Linked DNA regions of Pelodiscus sinensis. The protein of the gene in region 2 interacts with the protein of the main gene of each other region in a pairwise test. Links are inferred from orthologs where the notes say so. Each region holds a gene or a part of one and is shown on either strand. Other genes may lie near its edges.

Region 1 (7,954 bases), on a different chromosome or scaffold from region 2:
TGCCAGACTTGCCATAGAAAATTTAGTTCCACGTCTCTTTTGAAAATACAGGGTATAAGAGGGCAGAAGAGCTTTTTAATGGAAGGGGGAAAAATGGATGAGAGTAGGCTTTCCATGATATCATGGAACATCCTCCATGTTACTGTCACTCCACTGTGGCAGCTAGAACGTAGTCCCTCACATGATTGTGTCTCCAAGCTCATGTGCCATGCTGCATTTGACCAAGTACGTTATAGGAGTACAGATAGTCCCCAACTTACAAACGAGTTACATACCAAGCACTTGGTTGTAACTCGATCTGTTTGTAAGTCGGACCCCATTCAATTACATGTAACTGCGCTGTTCTTAAGCGCGGATTGTGTGTTCGTAACTCGGGGACATGCTTAATGGGAGGTTGGTTGTAAGGCTGAACGGTCGTAAATCGATGCATTTGTAGCTTAGGGACTACCTGTATGACACTTTTCAATTAAACATACAATAATGTATGTCCATAGCCAAAAGCAGGAAACTGGATCTGATGAAGCAGGGACATGATCTTTTAGTTTTATTGTTCACATTTGTTGGGAACAGGTGGGAGATTTCCTGTGATTGCTAAGAGTAGATATTTGTGAACCTTCCCATCTTCTTTTCAAGATTGCAGGAAGGAACACATCTGGGATGGATGCTTCCTTATCTCAGTACAAGCAAGAGATTATCTTTGATTCCTAAATGGTAGAGGAGTAAACTGTTAATCATCTGGTTGAACAAGACACTTAGTAAGCCCAACACTAAACAATTCAAAAAAACAGCAAGCCAACTAGATAAATTCAGAGGTGTATGCCTATAACTGATTTCAGAATGAAGATATTCCAGAGACAATACTTCTAGTACAGCAGTCAGTTTCTTCAGGAGTCAGCTGGAGTTAAGCGGAAGAGGTATCCGGTGGGCAGCAAAAAGCAGTACATCTATGAATTGTGATACTACAAGGAAATGCTGACATACGGGAAAACTGAAGATCTTTCGATTAAAAAAAAAAAATCACATTATTGGTTTATTTTGAAATTGTCCAAGTATATCCTGTGGTTTGACTAGACAACAGAAGGAACCTATTGAGGAAACTAAATTCCCAGCAGCAGTTTTTTGACATTTACTTTAGGAAAATCTCTGTCTCTGCTAGGTCACAAATTATGGCTCACTGGATCAATTAACCACTGTTCAAGCAGTTTTCATTATGATTGATGCACTGGCATATTAGAAATGTAACTAGGCCTGGCATAGTCTGTTGTACCAACCAATTTCATTGGAGTGAGAAGACTGCAGATTTTCCTGAGTGATTTCCAGAAATAAGGCATGTAGAAAAGAGTAACATATTGTTTGTGTCTTGTTAATGGATTACCATGGTTAGCAGATTAAATATATTTCTAGTGCCCTGCTGCCTCTGCTCCGATTGGCTCCATTTCTTTAGTACATTTTTATAAAACTGTTTACAGAGAAAGATAAAAATACCAAGTCATTTATGAGTCATTTATACCATAAGAAAGCAGGTAGTGTGTTTTCTGGGTATTTCTACTTACAGTGATATGGCCCTTTACAAAGTCATCTAATCTGTCTTCTCAACACAAACAGTTCCTTCCTTAAGAAAATGCTATGTAATCTGGAGAAAGTTGTTATAAGGAGGAGGGAGAAATATTGTTCTCCTTAACCACTGAGGATAGGACAAGAAGCAACAGGCTTAAACTGCAGCAAGGGCAGTTTAGGATGGACATTAGGAAAAGCTTCCCATTAGGGTATTTAAACATTGGAATAAATTACCTAAAGAAGTTGCAAAATCTGCATCATCTTACCTACTCTTAAAACCCCAAACACATACCAGGTATGGTCTAGATCAGAGGTTCTCAAACTTATGATACCGCAACCCCCCTCTAAATTGTTTGCAATCTCCCTCTAAGTTGCTCACGACCCCATGGGATATCAGGACCCACAGTTTGAGGAAACGCTGGTCTAGATAATACTTAGTCCTGAGTGCAGGGGAGTGAACTACTGAGATCCCTTCCAGTCCTATAATTCTGTGCTTCAGTAATGCAGTTACTCATCCACGCATAATACTTGTCAAACATTTGCTTGCTTGTTTGCAACGCACTCCCGTTACCACGAAGAATTTTTAGCAAGCCCATCAGTTCCTTTTACACCCAGCTCCAGACACGCAACACTGAAATTAGCCTGAGACCTCCAGTCACACAAGTATGCTCTATTCTTAAAGATACGCTCATGCACAGGCTCTATTGTGTTCCTAACCAGAATGATTTAAGCAATAAGCTTAACGAGGAGGACGCTGCGGGTCGGCCAGTGATCGACACAGAGTAGCTAGATGGGGGGCAAGGGGACTGCTGGGCCCTTGCGCAATACGGCGGGGAGGGGCAGGGGCTGCACGGGGAGAGCCAGACCCCAGCGCCACCCGGACCACACTGCGGCCACCCGAAACTTGCCGGGCTCCGGGAGTAGCAGCAGCTGCCGGGCCCCGGGGCAGCAAGGGAAGGGCGGAGCCCGGCCCAGCACAGGCGGGCCCAGCGGGAGGAGACCGAAGCTGAAGGAGGGGCGAGGGGAGCAGGCGGGAACGGCTGCACCCGGCCAGGGCGGCCGTGACACGAGGCCTCGGGCGCGGACCCCGCCGGGCCCGCCCCGTCCACCCGCGCGCGCCCCACCCCGGCCCGGCCCCCGCGCTCGCGCCCGGCTCAACGCCCGTTGCCAGGGCTACGGCTCCGCGGCCCCTCGCTCCCCGGGCCGCCCGCCCCTGCCCGAGGCGGCTCCCGCGGCCGCGCGCCCACCCGGCCGGCAGGGGGTCCGCGCCCCCTCAGGGCTAGTCCCTCCCGCGCGCTCACCCGCTCGGCAACAGCTCCCCTCGGCGCCGCAGCTGCCCTGGCTGCTGAAAGGGGCGGGACAAAAGCCTCCGGCGGGGATTAATTATTCATGTGCGGGCGGGGCAGCGCCGCGCTTCTCTGTCCTTCAGCCCAGGCTGACGTGATCGGCGCGGTGACGTAACAGTGCCCACCCCTTTGCAGAGGCCCCGCCCACAGGTCGTGGTGCGCAGCCTCCTGCTCCCTCCGCTCCCTTGGCGGCTCCTGCGCTCCCACTGGGGGTTGGGTCCCTGGCTCCTGCAACACCCTCAGGGGCTGTGTCTAGACTGGCCCGTTTTTCCGGAAAATCAGCCGCTTCTCTGGAAAATCTTCCCAGCTGCCTACACTGGCCGCTTGAATTCCCGCAAGAGCCCTGACTTCCTACTGTCCGAAATCAGCGCTTCTTGCAGAAATGCTACGCTGCTCCCTTCGGGCAAAAGTCCCCTTTGCGCAAAAGTTTTGTGCCAAAGGGCCAGTGTAGACAGCTGAGATTTGTTTTCCACAAAAGCGCATCTAGATTGGCCACAGATGCTTTTCCGCAAAAAGTGCTTTTGCGGAAAATTGTCCGTGCCCATCTAGACGCTCTGTTCCGAAAATGCTTTTAACGGAAAACTTTTCCATTAAAAGCATTTCTGGAAAATCATGCCAGTCTAGACGTAGCCCCTGTGTCCCATCCTGTCTGTCACCAGCACTGAGCGCCCCAGGGCCTGCCAGACTCCCCCCGCCCCGCGCTAGGCAATAGACTAGACTCACTGACCCTCCAATCGCACCCATCCACGCACCTCCCATCCTGCCCCTTCTCCTAGCCCCAGATCACCCCACCCTCTGCCCCCCCCCCCCCCCCCGCACTCTCAGTCAACAAAGGAAATCAGATTGATAGGGAACGATTTGGTCTCACAAATCCACGACAGAAAGTCCTTATAAGCCCATTCTTTTCCAGGTGCTTATAAGTTGATCGTTTTCAATAGCTTAGTATCAAAGTTAGGCTGACTGTTTATAATTCCCTGGGTCCTCGTTTATCACCCCTTTTAAAAGTAGGCATTACCTCTTCTGGGACCTCACCTATCCTGCACGAGTTCTCAAACAATTCTGCAATTGCTTCAGCTAGTTCCTTAAGTACCCTAGGATGCATGTCATTAGGACCTGCTGACTTAAGTACTCTAAATTATCTAACTATTCCTATCCTAATCTTTCCCTTTTTTGTTAATATTAATTCTATTCAGTGGGTCACCATTGACCACTTTGGTTAAGATTAAAGCAAGATAGGTAATAAATAGCTCACTCATTTCCTCATAAGAAAAGTAACCTACACTTTCTCTTTCTCTTGCTCCTAGTGTATTTTAAAAACTTATTACCTTTGCTGACCCTTGCTAAGTTAACTCATTTTGTGCCTTAGCCTTTCTGAGTTTGTTCCTACAGGTTTGTACTATTCTTTTGTATACCTGCTTAGTGATTTGTCCACGTTTCCACTTTTTGTAAAATTCCTTTTTGATTTGTGGGTCTTTAAAGAGCTCCTGTTGGAACCATATTGGCCTCTTAATAATCTTCCTATCTTTCCTTTCAGAAGGATAATTTGCAGTTGTGCCTTTAACATTGTCTCCTTGAGAACAAGCTCGATGACTTACACTCCTCTTTCCCTTAGGCCATGTCTACAATAAAGAGGAAGGTTAAATTAAGATATGCTACTCCAGCACTGTTAATTACATAGCTGGAGTTGACATGCCTTAATTAGAGTTTCCCCTTGTTCCCACAGCAGGAAGCTGATGGGAGCAAACTCCCCCACTGGCTTCCCTTACTCCCCACAAGAGCAAGGTGAGGACCTATGACAGGGGCACTCTCTGAGTTTGATTTAGCGGGCCTTTACTAGATCCACTAAATGGAATTCCGGAAGATCAATCATGGCACCATCAATCTTCCCCCAGTGAAGACATGGCCTTAGAATTTTCTTCCCATCTGGCTTTATCTACCAGTACTTCGAGTGAATTTGCTTTTTTGAAATCCATTGTCCTGATTCTGTTGCTCTCACTCCTTCCTTTCCTTAGAATCATGAAATCTATCATTTCATGGTCGCTTTCACCCAAACTGTCTTCCACCTTCAGCTTCCTATCAAGTCTTTCGTATTCATGAGAATCAAGTCAAAAACAGCTGTCCCCCAGTTATTTCCTCCATTTCCTGGAACAAGTTGTCTTGTCTTGGAAGATAAAGTTGTCTACAATACCTTCCAAGAACTTAATGGACATTTTGTGTTTTGCCGTATTACATTTCCAAGAGATCCCCCATTGCTAGCAGGTTTTGTGTTTTGGATATTTCTGTAATCCTCTGTCCTTAGTGAATTTCTTGACCCATGCTTCTCAGGCTCCTGGAAGAATAATTCCTCTCCCAAGCTCCTCCTCGGCCTCCCAAGGAAAAGTCTCTCCCCACAATCTTAAATTAAAACAATAGGTCACAAACTCTGGCCCTTTTAGGGCAACCGCAGAAAGCTGTTTGGCCGCATGTTGCTGGTTCTTCTTTTTTTCCCGCTGTTCTTTTCCATTAAAGGAAATGACAAATACTAAAACACTGAATGTGATTTGTAAGAAATTGCTTCAGTTGCCATGGAGAAGATATATGATGGTGAATGACAAGGAAATCAGTCTGCAAGCAAACAGAGGGGGGAGGAAGGAAAGGAGATGGGCAAGCAGTCATAAATAGGAGGTTGGCAGTCATGACTGGAGGGAAATGCCCACAAGACACTCTTTAGTAAGGGGTGGTTCCCACGATGGTGAAGGTTGAGAACTCCTGAATTAGACACAGAGAAGGATTTGCTGTTTTACTTGTTCTGCTGCTCAGTTTCTCAGTGCCACCTGCCACCCTTTGTGTTGGATGCAGCTTTCATATCCTTCACTCATGGATAAGCTGCTGCTCTGAACTGAACTGCGCTAAATAAATTCCGGACTCATTGACTAACTGGGGCATCTAACCTGAGCCTGAGAACATGGATTCCTGTCTTAGTTTCCCTGTAAGGTAGCATGTGGAAGTCCCCGTCCCTCCCCCAGGAGAGTGCAACACACAGAGAGCACATGGCCCCTGCAGTTGGCCACTCTGAATGGTATGTGGGGCTGCGGCAAGCAGGGAGCCTGCCTGAGGCTTCCACTGGGCTGATGGCTGGGAGCCGCCTAAGGTAAGCACCTCCCAGGCAGAGCCTGCACCTGGCACTCCACCCACACCCTCCTCCCAACCCTCTGTCCTCTCACCTGCATCCCTAACTCAGTTCACAATCATGCTTCTTCACCCATATCTCCTCCTAGACCCTGCATGCCAATCCCCTGGCTCAGGTCACAAGCCCCTCCTATCCTAGGTCACCACCTAAACCACTGCATTCTGCCCCAGGTTACAACACCCTCCCATGCCCTGTGCCCTGACCTCTACCCCTCCTCCAGAGCAGAATGCTCTCCTGCACCTATACCCCCTCCCAGACCTGACACCTCCTCCTGTACCTCAGTTTCCTGCCCCAGATCATACCCCAAATCCCTGCACCCCCTTATATACTCATGCCCCAACTCACAACCCACTCCTTCACCCAAATTCCCTCCCAGATCTCACATCTCCCCCATTAATATCATGGAAGAGAGTGGCCCTTGACCACTTACCAAATTCTTGGAGTGGCCTCCCTGATATATAATCTTACTATATATTTTAGAAATGTGCGTCTGTCAGCCTGTCCATCTGTCTGAGTCCCTTTGTTCAAGAACTCCTCCTAAAGGGTAAGAGCTAGGACCACCAAATTCGGTAGCCAACTTCCTCTTATCATAACTTAAAGCAAGGTCAGGGGTTGGTTGTGCCAGGACAATGGGATGTGCCTAGAATCTGATTGTTTTCTATAATGTGGAAAAGGAAAGGGCTCGTGTAGAATGACTACTGGCAGGGATGGGGCAGCAAGGAGCCAGATGGGGACCAGGCTAGCTATACCCTCATTGGGCCAGCAGGGCGCAGGGGTGAAGAAAGGGCCAGCTATCTACTATATACTATATATTTCAGAGAGTTTGTCTGTCCCCCAGACAAGGGACATGCACTCTTCCCCCAGCTGTGCCTGCTGCACATTCAGCCTGGACAATAAGGCGTACATTTCTAAGTGAGGGTAATTAGCCATCGGAACAATTTACCAGCAGTCACGGTAGCGTATCCATTGCTGGCAATTTTTCAAATAAAGATGGTCTGTTTTTCTAAAAGCTTTGCTCGAGGAGTTATTTTGGGGACGTTTCAAGCCCTGTGCTATACAAAAGCCCAGACTGAACGATCACAGCAGTCTCTTCTCGTCCTGGAATCTATGAATGGGAGAATGGTGGAATGCTGGGATCAGAAGATTCCACGGCAGATGGGAATGATCCTGAAGATGGGAGCTGAATGGGCTCAATGCCTCAAGGCTTAGCTACAGAGTGATGGTTTCATTCACAGACTAGACTGAAGGGTGTGTGTGTGGCTGAGATTATGCTACCGAGCAAACAAAGGCCAGGTTCTTCCCGCACTGGGATTAAAACAGTATTGTAATATGAACTGAAGGGTTTAAATGAAGTTGGCTCACGTTCTCATTTTTGTAAGTAGGTTTAAATTGTTTCTCGAGACTCTGCCTTTCAAGTTAAGGACGCCTGGCAAAACTCCACTGATACGATTTCCCAACACTGTCAGCATTGGCAAAATCTCTTAGCTTTTACTCAAAGAAATAAGTGCATTTCTAGCCTTGCTGACTGCAAAGGAGCCAAGAGGAATGATGCTGGAACTGCTGTGGTTATGCAGTTCAGATGATCGGGGGAAAGCAGCAGAGCAAATGGAGCAGCATTAATCACCCCCTGAATTTCCCAGGTTCTTGGTTCCTGCAGGCACCTGCAGGCTTGTGAAGTGAAGATCTGGGTTCTCTGACCCTGAATAAAATCAGTTTCCGATTTACGCATATGCCGAGTAGTCCCAAATTCCTTGTGCTCTGCTAGCCTACCTTGTTGCATGGCACTGTTGAGTCTTATGGAACTCCACAAGCGAGGGTCTAATGCTAGAGGTGAAGTTTCTCATTGCTAAACGTAGGGTGGATGATGGATCCTTCCAGGAAG
Region 2 (6,931 bases):
CAAAGTTCTGACCATGACTTTATGTTAAGGACAAATATATATATACATATAAAATCCTTGAAATTTCTATTTAGTATTCTTATTAAGTTTTAGACTGATTGCAAATGAATTTGCAGTCTTAGCCACAGATATAAAATTATACTCGTCATGGACATAATAACCTATTTGCATGGATTCTTTTACATGACTTGAGCGTTATGGACTTTTTTGAGAATATGTAATCGTTATCCATAACTAAACTAAAAATGATAATTCTTCAAATTAGGCAATGGCTTATCATAAAGATATAATTTTAAATAAGGTACTGTCTTAATATACATACATTAAGAATGCAATTCCATCTCTCAATTTCTATCACTCAGGCTTTGCACTCTTGGTTTATGATGGTACCACACAGAATTATAGTTTTTCTATTTAGAGCTGAGGATACATCATTCTTTATGATCTGATCTACCAAATAGCAAGGTTATCAAATGGAAAATATTTCTTAAAATAAAATTTAAAACCTCCAAAATGATAATTGTTTAATCTGTAATGTAATGAGTAATTACAATTCAAAATTCTTCAATATCTTGCTTAAAATACATACATATACAGTTACTGTCAAGCAGGATCCAATATTTGCCTTGTCTTAACACAGCGTCTGTTAGTTTCTTTTGGTTTAGAGACTGGGTGTTTCTCTTTGTCTTTTTAAAACCAAACATGCCACCACTTAACAAAAATAAATAATAATCAGGGCTCACCAAGTGGTGGCGAGCCCTGCTCGCCAGCCGTGCGGTTCTGCGAGCTGCGCATGCACAGATTGCGCTGCACATGGGCAGATCGAGTGGTGCTGGCTGTGCCAGCTTGTAATCTACTCGCCATAGGCAAGTAGATTACACAATTTGTCGAGCCCTGATAATAATAATAAATCATAATAATATTTAATCAGATATTTCCCTTATGCTTAGCTATTATAGCAATAGGTGCAGCAGAAATACAATTACTAGGCACATAGGTAATACAGAGTCTTAGAGGGGTAGTTGTGTTAGTCTGTAACTAATAACAGTTAAAAAAACAACACTGGTCCTGAAGCAAGTAAGGGTATGTCTACACTACCCCGCTATTTTGAACTAGCAGGGTAATGTAGGCATACCGCAATTGCAAATGAAGCCCGGGATTTGAATTTCCCGGGCTTCATTTGCATAAGCCGGGCGCCGCCATTTTTAAATCCCGGCTGGTTCGAACCCCGTGCCGCGCGGCTACACGCGGCACGAACTAGGTTGTTCGAACTAGGCTTCCTAGTTCGAACTACCGTTACTCCTCGTGGAATGAGCAGTCAATGGAATTTCCATCAACTACATGATTAGTCAATAAGGGGTAGATGTGGCGCTCGCTATCCCAGCTGCACCGCTGCATTTTAAATGTAATGAGAGATGCCTGTGGCTCTTACTACATTTAAAAGGCAGAGGCGGAGCACGGAACTGTGGCCCTTTTGCCTTTGAAATGTAACAAAAGTCCCGGCGGGCTTTTCCTGCTACATTTCAAAGGCAGAGGCATATCAGTTGGGACCTGGTGCGAGCGGGGACTGCTTGGCTATGTCTGTATTGGAAGATTCTTGCACAAGAACTGCCATTCTTGTGCAAGAACCCGCAGAGCATCCACACTGCTCGCCCGCTCTTGCACAAGAAGATTTACAGTACAGCATTGGAAGACAGGGCTTCTTGCACAAGAGCTACACTCACTCTTTTCTAACAAGTGTAAGCCCTCTTGCACAAGAGCTGGTACAGAGGCAGCAGGGGGAGGGAGGGGAGGAGTGAGGAAGCGAGTACTCAAGTAGTGACTCGACTACCAGATAAGTATCCCTAGGGTACAACCCACTTCTTATATGCCATCTGAAGAAGTGAGTTGTGCCCACGAAAACTCATATACTATTTATATATTTTTGTTATTCTCTAAGGTGCTACAGGACCAATGTTGTTTTTTTACAGAGAACAGGGAAACAAATTTTTCAGCCTGGTCTACCCTGGGGGCAATGTCAAAATAAGGAATGCAACTCCAGCAACGTGACTAGCATAATTGGAGTCAACATACATTAGTTCAAGTTTCTAAGGCATCGCCACTACTGGGGGTCGATGGGAGAAACTCCTCCTTTAGCTTCCTTTACTCTTTTCACTCCAGTGGAGTACCCAAGTCAACAGGACTGCAATCAGTGGTCGATTTAGCTGGCCTTTAGAATTTTGGTCTGACCCAGCATGGCTGTTCTTATTAAAGGAGTTCCAAAAACAGAAAAAAAGTTCAGTCCCCACACGGTTTTAGATACTTTTATTCTCTTTGATGTTAAAAGGCTAAATCTAAAAAAAGGATATTTTATGCCAATGTATCTTCTGTAATATTACAATATATTGATGCAAGATGGTCAAAATTATCTCTTCTAGCTTCCAAATCCAATAATAACCCTATGTTGCCACCATACTGGAGGCCCTCACAGGGACTGGGTATGTGGGGTACCCTAACAATGCCTCTTCCTATAAAACCACTCAGGAAGATAAGCTCATCCATTGGGCCAACCCCATCCACATCAAAATATGAGGGCAACTGAATGATCCATGCAGGGGTGGCACTCCCACCTATTCCTGAGGCAGCCACCTTGTGGGACAGCTAATTGCACATCCCCAGTGAGCTGCCCCACGGGGCCTGCCCTCCTATCCCAGCCTCCCTCCTCCCAGGGCCCATTCCGCGCACCTCCTCTCCTTCTTTCCCAGACATCCTGTCACTGGGGCTTGTCTCCCCCTTTTCCAACACTCCCGGGGGTGCCGCCTGCCCTGCCCCCGCAGAGCCCCGCTGCCTTGCACCCGCGAAGGATACGCGCACGCGCTGCCCGCGAAGGTGCCGCCGTGGCACTGAGGCGCGCAGTCCGGAGCCGGGCGAAAGAGGCTCCTCCAGCCGGACCCGCCCGGCGCAGCAGAGCCCGGCTCCCACTGTGCGGGGCTGACGCCCCCCGCGCCCCTCACGCCGGGCTCCATTCAGCCCCGCCGGACCGCCCCCATGCCGGTCCCTGCCTGCCTGCTGGGTCAGGGCTGGGCGGGGGCGCCCATCGCTCTGCGGCTCGGCCGCCCTGCCGCCATCTTGGCAACCACGGACGCCGCTTCCTTCGCAACGGAAACCAGGGGCAACGCGAGGGGAGAGAGAGGAACTGGGGCACCGTCGGCAAGGGAGACGGGGGCGGGGCCTACGTGGGGGAGGAGCCTGGGGCCGGGACGGGAGAAGCGCCTGGGAGACAGGGATGAGCCAGGGAAGGGGGCGGGGCTGGGAGTTGCGGAGAGAAGTATGTGAGGAGCAGGTTGCTCCTCCCACCGGCTCAAAAGCCTTGAGCTCACCATCCAAAAACAAACAGGTTTTTAAAAAAATACTCACCCGGGGATCTTTTTATTTAGAAAAAAAGAAAAGAAAACAAACCGGAAAGCTGAATATCATATGAAGTCACATGACTCTTGGGATTGGAGCTTTACAAAAAACACCAAACACAGGAGGACACATTCATAGATAAAGGTTCACCGTTTTGCCAACTCACAATTGTATTACAAATCTTGTGATGTTTGTTGGTCTTCTTAAAGCTCCACCTCAAAGACTAGCTAGTGTGGCCAACTTTCTAATGATTCTAAACCAAACATCCTTGGCCTGCCCCCTGTCTTGCCCATTCCTCAAGGACCCAACCCTGCCCTACTCCTCCAAGGCCCCCCCACTCCTCTCAGGGAGATATAGGGTGGGCACTAACAGTTGTGTGCCCCCTGAATGCCACTGGGGGTAGAGCCAAGGGGCCAGCAGCCAGAGACATCCTGTCCTAAAGACAGTTCATCTAACTTTGAGGGGCTCCACACTGTGCATGGGACTAGCAGGTGGTGGGAAGCAGATCTCCACCTCCCTCTGCTTCCCACAGCTGGTGAGTGCAGAGGGCAGTTCCTCCACTTTCCTTAAGCCCTGTTCCCCAGGGATGAAGATTAGCAGGGGGCCTGACACTGGAAGCAGCGATTGGGTCCCCCAATACTTAATGGCAGTGGCGGGAAGCAGAATGACCCAGCCCTAGCCTGCTCTGCTCCCCTGACCCCTAGCTGTGTCGCTGGGAAAGGAACTTGGTTGAACTGATGGCACCTCCCTTTGCACTCACCAGTGGCAGAGAAGTGGAGCAATGTGACTTAGAGCCAAAGGAACAGAGTGGGCTTGTGTCGGATTGCTTCTCCACTGTGGAGTACAGGGCAAAAGCTGACTGCTGCTGTTGGTGCCAAATCCCCCATTTTGCCCCCTGGGCCATGTTGTTCAGCGGGGGGGGGGGAGAGAAAAGGGTGAGCTTGAGGAAAGAGTGGATTAGAGGAAGAGAGAGGGTGGAGCAGGGATGGGGAGGGGTGGAGCACAAGGTTGGGGAAAGGATGGAGTGGATGTGGGATGGGGATGGGAAGAAGTTGGGCCCTCCCCAGTAGGGATGTAAGTGAGTAGTCAACTATTCGACTACTCGCTTCCCTCCCTGCTGCTGCTTTTGTATCAGAGGCAGCAAGGGGAGAGGGGAATGGACCCAGTGCTGGGGGGATCCAGCTTAAAAGTTGGTTCCCCCAGCACCGTCTCTGTGGTGCCACTTGCCCCATGCCACTGTCTCTATCAGGCATGAGCTGGGACAGAGCCAGGACCATTGTGTCTCTACATTTTAAATGTAGTAAGAGCCACAGCGGTCCCAGACTGACCCCAGCCACAACTGAGCTAGACTTGTTTGGTTTTGGCTTGCACCAGCTCCAGCAGAAGCCCCTGTTCATGGCGGTCCAGGTTGGCCTCAGGCAGAGACTGCTCCAGCAGCAGTCCCTGTCCACACCCTGCTTGGACCCCCTGCAGATAGGGGCTGCTGCACCTGGTGAGAGCCAGGACCAAGCAAATCTGGCTCAGTCCTGGCTCTCAATGGTCTGGGACCTACCTCCCCTGCGGCTCTGCAGTTTAAATGTAGTAGGAGACAGGCTGCCTGCACGCCCAGTTTCTACTACATTTAAACTGCAGAGCTACAGCAGGGGTAGCTCCTGGACCAGTGCAAGCCAGCACAGAGCCCTTCTCTTATAGACATATTGTGTGGTGGATACAAATTGTATCGACTGCACAATTAGTCAATAACTCATCTCTTAGCATACCTACCCATTCTAATAGTGGCATGGGGGAGCAGTCATATGGGGGCAGTCACATGGCCAGCGGTCTTGAGTCCCTCCTTAGCAGTCACCAGTAGGTGCAGGGAGTGTTTCGAGCTAGGGTAGGGATTTGGACTCCGAGAGGGAGTTTGGGTGTGGAAGGGAGCTCAGAGCTGGTGTAACCCACATACCTAGTTTGGGTCTCTGTCCCATGAAGTGGCACCTAGACCACAGCAACAAATAAAAACAAGAGACCTCTACAGTATAGCTGAAAGGGTAGAGGCTCCTATACTAAGCTTCCCAGGTTCAAATCTATCTGGTGACAGTTACACTGGGACAAGAGAGTTGGGGTGCACAAGAGCATAAAATGGCCATACTGGGTCAGACCAAAGATCCATCTAGCCTAGTATCCTGTCTTTCCACAGACAACCAAGGAAAGGTGCTGTAGAGAGAATGAAAAGAACAGATATTCACTGAGTTGCTTGTTCCCAGCACCTGGGAAACAGAGGCAAGGGTCACCATCCCTATCCATCCTCACTTACAGCCATTGATGGACCTATCCTTCACGAATTTATTTAGTTCTTTTTTGAACCCTATCATAGTCTTGGCCTTCACAACATCCTCTGGCCAAAATTCCGTACGTTGACTGCACATTGTGTGATAATATATTTCCTTTTGTTTGTTTTAAACTTGCTGTTTATTCATTTTATTTGGTGACCCCTAGCTTTTGTGTTATGAGGAGGAGTAAATAGCTCTTCCCTGTTTACTTTCTCTACACTGGTCATGATTTTATAGATCTTTAGTGATATCCCCGCTTAATTGTCTCTTTTCCTAGCTGAAAAGTGCCAGTTTTATTAATCTCTCCTCATAATATAGAAGCCATTCCATATCTCGAATCATTTTTGTTGTCCTTTTCTGAACCTTTTCCAATTCCACTATATACTTTTTGAGATAGGGCAATCACATATGCACAAGCTGTGGATGTACCATGGATTTATATAGAGCAAATATGATATTTTCTGTTTTATTATCTATCTCTTTGTTAATGATTCCCAACATTCTGTTCACTCTTTTGACTATCACTGCACATCAAGTAGATGTTTTCAGAGATCTATCCGCAACGACTCCAAGATGTCTTTCTTGAGTAATAACAGCTAATTTAGACACCATCATTTTATTTGTATAGTTAGGATTATGTTTTCCCATGTGGACTATTTTGCATTTATAAACATTACATTTCATCTACCATTTGGTTGCCTAGTCACCCAGTTTTGAGAGATTCTTTTGCCAACCAGCTCTTAATACATTTAAAAAGCAGAGTCGCAGCATCTGGGACTGGGCACGAGCCGGGAATCAGTAGAGATGTTTTACGTAGAGAAAGCTCATAGAGTTCACTCTCTTTATCAGTGAAAGAGAAATATGCACAGCTGTTCTCCACAAGTAACAATTATTTATACTGGGCTTGACAATAAATGTATTTTATTAAGTATAAAAAATAGGATTTAAGTGGTTGCAAGTGATGACAGACAGATCAAAGTGAGATACTAAGTCAAAATATACAAAACATGCCAGCTAAGACTAATACACGAAGAGATATTGTAACATATCATATTTTCTCACACTAGTCCTTATTTCAGGTAAAGTCCTTCAGGACAGAGCAGATCTTTTCTCTGACTTGGACCCAGCTGCTTCTCTCCCTTTGTTTCCAGGTCTCTTCATATGTCCTTTTGTGATGGGGATCATTCTGTGAAGCCAGCTGAAGACCATCATTGTTTGCTTCCCATTCCTTA

Evidence for each region.
Region 1: the proteins of CEP126 (region 2) and HMOX2 interact in a two-hybrid assay, tested with the Homo sapiens proteins (2 studies listed by BioGRID and IntAct). The link is inferred for Pelodiscus sinensis from reciprocal best matches to the Homo sapiens genes CEP126 and HMOX2.

The regions. Positions count from the first base shown.
Region 1 is NC_134726.1:3,838,085-3,846,038, reverse strand, and holds the start of HMOX2 (heme oxygenase 2), read right to left. Parts: upstream 3,013-7,954; 5' UTR 2,859-3,012; intron 1-2,858.
Region 2 is NC_134711.1:304,296,449-304,303,379, reverse strand, and holds the start of CEP126 (centrosomal protein of 126 kDa), read right to left. Parts: upstream 3,006-6,931; coding exon 2,848-3,005; intron 18-2,847; exon of another isoform or gene 16-17; coding exon of another isoform or gene 8-15; coding exon 1-7. Other genes in the region: ANGPTL5 (angiopoietin-related protein 5), read left to right, coding at 3,028-3,189. UniProt on the Homo sapiens protein: Participates in cytokinesis. Necessary for microtubules and mitotic spindle organization. Involved in primary cilium formation.